2 linked regions of the Rattus norvegicus genome follow. The protein of the gene in region 1 interacts with the protein of each later gene in a biochemical or structural test. Links are inferred from orthologs where the notes say so. Each region holds a gene or a part of one and is shown on either strand. Other genes may lie near its edges.

The links.
Region 2: of the proteins of Pdgfrb (region 1) and Ptprj, one has a biochemical effect on the other in vitro, tested with the Homo sapiens proteins (2 studies listed by IntAct). The link is inferred for Rattus norvegicus from reciprocal best matches to the Homo sapiens genes PDGFRB and PTPRJ.

Annotation. Positions count from the first base shown.
Region 1 is NC_086036.1:56,794,291-56,797,944, forward strand, and holds part of Pdgfrb (platelet-derived growth factor receptor beta precursor), read left to right. Parts: coding exon 1-115; intron 116-612; coding exon 613-824; intron 825-2,999; coding exon 3,000-3,094; intron 3,095-3,654. UniProt on the Homo sapiens protein: Tyrosine-protein kinase that acts as a cell-surface receptor for homodimeric PDGFB and PDGFD and for heterodimers formed by PDGFA and PDGFB, and plays an essential role in the regulation of embryonic development, cell proliferation, survival, differentiation, chemotaxis and migration.
Region 2 is NC_086021.1:96,864,470-96,867,809, reverse strand, and holds part of Ptprj (receptor-type tyrosine-protein phosphatase eta isoform 2 precursor), read left to right. Parts: intron 1-2,277; coding exon 2,278-2,436; 3' UTR 2,437-3,340. UniProt on the Homo sapiens protein: Tyrosine phosphatase which dephosphorylates or contributes to the dephosphorylation of CTNND1, FLT3, PDGFRB, MET, KDR, LYN, SRC, MAPK1, MAPK3, EGFR, TJP1, OCLN, PIK3R1 and PIK3R2. Plays a role in cell adhesion, migration, proliferation and differentiation.

The sequences.
Region 1 (3,654 bases):
GTGTACTGGAGCTGAGTGAGAGTCATCCTGCCAATGGGGAGCAGATACTCCGCTGTCGGGGCCGGGGCATGCCTCAGCCAAATGTCACCTGGTCTACCTGCAGAGACCTCAAAAGGTGAGCACACCTTGAGGCCAGGCCTCCCAGAGTATATGCAGCTGCCTAGAATGCTCCTTTAGGGTAATCTAGACCGGCCTCTTCACCTGAGAGGTCCAGGCCACATCTTTGATCATTCCTCTGCCTTCCGGGAGATACCTAACCCACATTTCTCCTTTTCTTACCTTGATCCTGAGCCATCCTCAACCTAGGAAGGTGCAGGGTCTGGCCCCCAGAGGTGTCTAGTTCACCCAGTGGATATGCGGGGATTGCCTCTCTATCCTTAACACGTTGAGTAACCTTGAGTCAAATGAGTGAATTTTGCCATTCAGGAGTCTCAGTTCTGGACTGGGAGCGCCCCCTGCTGGCCCATCTAGGCAGCACAGTAGGAATCTGCTTAAAGAGCAAGCAAAGAAATCAAACGTTTCTACCACCATTCACAGTCTTACTTTCCCCCACCATTTGCAGAGAGGAAGCTAAGAGAGTCTGCAAGCCAGTCCTTTTGTGTCTCCTGGCAGGTGTCCGCGAAAACTGTCACCCACACCCTTGGGGAATAGTTCCAAGGAGGAGAGCCAGCTAGAAACGAACGTGACTTTCTGGGAGGAAGATCAGGAATATGAGGTGGTGAGCACGCTGCGCCTGCGTCACGTGGACCAGCCACTGTCAGTGCGCTGTATGCTGCAGAACTCGATGGGCAGAGATTCACAAGAGGTCACCGTGGTACCACACTGTGAGTGCCCTAGCTGCGGATGGCTCTGATGAGCTCTCACCCCTTCCTTGATCCCACCTCACTGAGTCCGAGTTCCCAAAGCAGATCAAGTCAGCATACTCAGAAGAATGTTACAAAGTCTACCAGAGTAGGTTCCTAGGTGCGCACACGAAATGTGACATTGACACAAGTGCACAAACACAACTTTATACACCACAAACACGAAACACATTGACATTTAGGTGTAGAAAGTGAAACTGGCACGCGAGATGCATGCTGTAAACTTGCATGAGCCGGTTGATACTGGGAGTCAGGCGTACACTCTTCACGGGCACGCCGTCTGCGCCGAGGAGGCTTTGTCTCCAGAGTATATGCGTGTTAGCATCTACTCAAGCATACCCAGTGCTGTTCGTGGATGTGAAACTGCAGAATATATTTTTGTGAGCCGTGCGTATGAGACCAGCCAGATCTAATATATCAAATGCTGAAAGATGAGTGGGGATTAGCTAGCTCGTGAGGGCTGTGGAAAAGCCTAGCATAGGCTCTGTGTGGGTTCTGAGGAGTTGAAGCAAATGAGCCCGGATGCAGGGCACACTGTATGTGGATTTGGAGTAGGGGAGGGATTAGGGAGGGAAGTGGTAAAGAATGGGGCTACAGGATGCAGAATACAGCTACAAGATACAGGATACAGGATACAGCTGCAAAGAGTATTTCGTAGACAATCAAACACAGACCCATGCACACTGCGCATATACCTGAAAACAGAGACATGCACACACCCACGCAGGTGTACACACACAGAGGCTTCCGCAGGCTTGTACATGTCTGCTTATGTACATGCCTGTCACCTGCCCTTAGAGGAAGGGTGAGCTTTTAAAGCATCCTTACTGGGACTGCAGAGATGGCTCAGAGGTTAAGTGCACTTGCTGCTCTTCCAGAGGCTCTGAGTTCCGTTCCCAGCACCCACATCAGGCAGCTCACAACCACCTGTAGCTCCAGATCCCGTGGATCTACAGCCTTCTTCTGACCTCTGTGAGCATCCACATGTGTGGCATTCTGTCATACAAATGCTCACATATATACACACAAAAATATATAAGATATGTGTTCATTGCTTTAGGCATCGCAGATTTCTTTGCACTTGCACTGCCAAGCATATAGTCCTTACGGTCTAGGTGTTAGAAAAATTAAGTGCCCTTATTCCCCCATATTCTCATCTATGCACACAGGTAGACTAGCTCTGGGCCCGAGTAAATGCAGAGGAAAAGTCATGTGTGACGCCTGCACAGGACGCCATGTGCTATTACACGGAGACCCAGCTATTACACGGAGACCCAGGATGACTCTGATGGGTCTCTGGAGAGTGCAGGCTTCCTTTGTAAGACCAGGATGTAGGGATGTAGGGAAGAGAGAACAGAAATGTCAGCCAGTGACCCTGAGAAGGAAAAGATGGGGCTAAGCCAGAGGAAGGCTCCCTGGGGAACAGAGGAGGGCAGGAAGAAGCAAATTCCCAGAGCACAACAGCTCCTGCTAAGTGGGAGAGGACAGGGGATGGGGGTTCAGCCAGGCTGACTAGGGAGGTGATGTAAACAGTGAGGCTGAAGTCTTGGGCTAGAGAGGACTCAGGGCTCAGGGAGACCTGCATGTTCACCTCAGGGCCCCGGGAGGTGCATACTGACTGTGCCACACACACTAGTGGTCCCCAGGCTGGGGCTGGGAGGAACAGACTTCTGGTGGTGGATTATTCAGGCTGCTGAAGTTCAGAGTCAGCTCCTTCGGGAGTCACTCGGTGAGTGCCTCAGCCATTTGGTTAGGAATGGCTCTTAAATCTATGACCCAGGAATGACTGCCCAATAGGGCATGGACTCAGAGAAGAGGGGGTCGTGGCCTGGTCCCCAGAGTGCCTAATGCTGTGAGAGGCATAGGTCATTCTCAGGAACCAGAAGAGAGTTCCCCAGCCTAGCTGGATGTTGCAGAAGCCAGCCTGAGCCTGACTGTCATCTGAGGGGAGTCACTGAGGGGCCCTGGGCTTGTAGGAAAGACCAGAGTGTAGGCCCTGAGGTCAGATATCTAGGCAGTAAGAGCTCACGTGCTCAGCAGAGCAAGTCCAACGGATCTGTGATGCTCCCAGCAAGATGGGGAAAGCAGCTACCCAGATACTGTTTGCTTATGGCCTACTCTGGTCTTTGTCCTCAGCCTTGCCTTTCAAAGTGGTGGTGATCTCAGCCATCTTGGCCTTGGTGGTCCTTACTGTCATCTCTCTCATCATCCTCATCATGCTGTGGCAGAGGGTAAGCCTGTGTATGGGTGCAGAGTGGTACCCATATTTCCTCACGGTCTCCACTGTATGTTACACAATCCAGCCCATAGGAAAGGCACAACACAGAGTTCAGCCTGGAGCTGACTTAGAGCGTTGCTGGGTCTCCAGCTCCCTCAGTCCTTACTGGGCTGACGTGATCAGTCCAGGACTCTTGCCCCTGCTCTTTCCTCTGCCTCAGTCCTTCCCGCTCAACTCAGTCCTGGTGCAAATGGTGCATTGTGGGTGGACTATCATGGCCCCAAGATTCTTTCAGCTCTAACCCATAGAGACTGCCATGAGTCACAAGAATGCAATCTGACCCCAGGATTCTGTTCTGACGCTCTATTCTGACATTTCCCCTTTCTGTAACTCCAAACACTTAAGATTCCGGAATTGGGACTCTAGTCCCCCTTCATCCTGTCATTATAAGATTCCAATCCTGTGACTCCAAGATCCTAAGATTTCCACATCCAAAGGCTGTGTCCTTTTGAGACCCCACAGAGACAGAGTAGGCATTTGGAATCTGTCCTATCATATGTCGCTTTCTGGGTA
Region 2 (3,340 bases), on another chromosome or scaffold:
CTGTTTAAGCTAACAGAACAGACTTATCAAACTTGCTTTCATGGTAGGAAATAGCACATTGCCGCTGAGGTGGAAATGCTACTTATGCGCGCCCAGCCTTGCAGAAGCTAAAGAACTGGTTATCAGAGCTACACCAGGATGACTGGGCAGAAAATGTGTGCTCAGGATCTACTGCAGTGTGTGGAAAGCTGTTGGATTTGCCCTTCCTGATGTGTTCCTTGTGAACTTTGAATCTGAGGCTGATTCTTATCAGAGTGTGTCAGGAAGTGGCTTCCAGGGGTGGATATTCCAGGCCAAGATGAGAGCAGAATATTCACGTCTCAGGCTGTTACTCGGTACCAAGTTAGAAACTTAGGACTATGCTGTGTCTGCGTCTAGCAGGGTATGTTAGAGGGCTGGGCACACTGTGTGTTTTGGGTGAGATCCATGATTGTTGGAGAAAGAATGAAGATTTGCGTCCATGTTAGATTTTCATTTTTTTGCTACAGTTTTATAGAACGAGAAGAACAGAAGTCTCATTATCTGTCTGTGGCTTCTTCTCTCATCTCTGTGTGCATGCACGCATGTATGCGTGTGTGTGTGTGTGTGTGTTTGTGTGTTTGTGTCACTCGTGCACAGAGAGAGAGACAGAGAGAGACAGAGAGTCAGAGAGAGACAGAGGGACAGGGAGACAGAGAGGCAGAGAGACAGAGAGACAGAGAGAGAGGATTACTTTTCGACTTTATTCAGTGATGCTGGTTCTCACAAACACAGAACTTGAAAGCACGGCTAGTCTAGCTAGCTGGCTTGATCTGAGGTCACTCTGTCTTCAGAGGCCACACCCACTCAGCGTTTTCACGGTTTGTGGATCTGCTGTTTAGTCCTCCTCTGTGGCCAATGCTTTAACTTCTGATCTACCTCTCCCGATCACTTTTTCATATTTCAAAAATAATATATTAAAAATTACCACTATAGGACTTCACAGAATTTTTTTTTTCCCCTAACCCAACTTCTTAGGCTCTAGGACCTAGAGGAAGGCCTTAATTACCTTTAGTATGTGTAGTGGTTTGGAGTCCCCACCTCCCCAGGCTAATATGTTTAGTCACCAGGCAGTGGCGCTTCTTTGAAAGGTCGTAGACCTTCAGGGAGCAGAGCCTTGCTGGAAGAAGTGGATCCCTATGGGTGGGCCTTAAGGTTTCATACCCGGGTTCCATTTCCTGTCTGCCCTCTGCTTCCTGACTGTAGATGCAGTGTGACCAGCTGCCCGAGGCTCCTGCCACCATCTCTTTTCAGCTGTGGTGGGCCCTGTCTGTTTTGCTGTGAGCCAAAAGAAGCCCCTCTTCCCTTAAGTTCCTTCTTGTGTTTGGTCAGAGCAGCAAGAGATGGAACTTGCCCAGCAGGTGGCGCTATAGAACCCTTTGAGTTTGCGCATGCGTACGTGTATAGACTAGTTTGAAAAGAGTGGATGCTTGTTCATGAGGTTTTCTTTTATGGCACCTAGTGTCTTTCTGCATCAGCACGTGCTTCCTCTATTTAAACAGCGACCTGCAGATTCTGATGCTCTTGTATTAGTTACTTTTTTGAAAAAAGCAATTGCTGTGCGGAAGTTTATTTTGCCTCATAGTTTGGGGTACAGTCCGACACAGTGTACCAGTGTCTCTAACTGTGGCAGCAGGATGACGCTGGTCACATTTTGTCTGCAGTAAGGCCATAGAAAGGTGACTGTTGGTGCTCAACCCCCTTCCCTCTCACTTGCCGCAAACCTCAGCCCCTTGTTCAGGAGGGACGGCAGTCCCTCATCAGCTGACCTTCTCCTGAAATGACCTCCTAACTCACCCAGAGGAGTGTCTCCTAGGTGATTCTCAATTTCATCCAGGGGACAACAAGGATTAGTTATCAAGCTTCCCTGAAGCGTGGTCCCCACTCAGGTTCACCTGATATCTTTTAACCCTTTTCATCTTTAGAGAATCTTTCTGGCTTCCTCGCACTCCACACTGACCCACCGTATCTATGCTCTATTTCCTCTGCAACTCCATCTCACTCTCTCCAAGGTTTCCTCGATCAGGAAAAGTGAGGGCGCCCCCTCCGGATAAGCATCACTGGTAATGAAGGCTGCGTTATGTGGTTTTGGATTTCACTAGGATGTTCTTAGATCACTGCGTCTTAATTTGGATGCGTTTGCTGTTGGACTGGTGGGGTTTGGGGGGTGACATGGTGATTATTTGTCTAAACATCATCTCGTGTTCTCATTCCAGGGGCTGGTGCTTATTCTTCTCTCTCACTTTCTTTTGTCACCAGGACCAGTATGTTTTCCTCAATCAGTGTGTGTTGGATATTATCAGAGCCCAGAAAGACTCAAAAGTTGACCTCATCTATCAGAACACAACCGCAATGACAATCTATGAAAACCTCGAGCCAGTGAGCATGTTTGGAAAGACTAATGGTTACATCGCCTAGTTCCAAAGCAAACCCTTCTGAAGCTAACCAGACCGTCACACCCACAGTGAAGGAGAACGCCCTGACGGGGACATGTTTTATGTGTCTCATTTCTCAATTCTTTGTTCTGTTCTGTTAGAACTACTTGGAGGGCATGGGGCTGTGCATGTAAAACATGGCAGATAGGCAGTTGGGGCTCTCAGGGGCTGTGGGCAGGTGGTGTGTAAATCAGCTGCATTCCTGATTACCAATGGGATGGGTTCGCTTTCTGTTTTTCTTTCCTTGAGAATTGTGGAAAACCAGGAAAAGTGAGCTATGTTTTTGTTTTCCAAGCAGGTTTGTTCTCCTCTCTTTCTATTCCTCCCCCTTCTCTCTCTCCCTCCCCTGCCTCTCTCTGTTTTTTTTTAAGACTTTTATATGATTCACATGCTAAAGCCAGGATTATGTTGGGTTGGATATATTTTAAGTATCAGAGGTCTATTTTTACCTACTGTATCTCGGAATCTAGCCGATGGAAAAGCATGGCTGTGGGTGTTTCTCATGCAGGGAGGGGCACCCGGTGCCTCTTCTGCGTGGGTTTCTATTTGAACATGTGCCTTTTCTGAATTATGCTTCCACGGGCAAAACTCAGTAGATATCTCTATTTTTATATTGAATCTCAGAATTGGAATATACAGAATATTTAAACAGTAGCTTAGTATCAGAGGTTCGCCTCCTCAGTAACATTCCTGTCCCATCCCATTAGAGGAGGCTTTCTCTGCGGCCCGCCCTTGACACACATTTGTGCTCCATGTTCCTTTTCCTTCCTTTCTTTTTTTTTTTCTCCCCTCCCAGTTTTCGCCAAAGAACTTCTGTTGGTGAGATTTTCATCCCATTGGTTGGGTGAGAATAGAAGTTTAAAATATCACCATGAGACTCTCTGTGG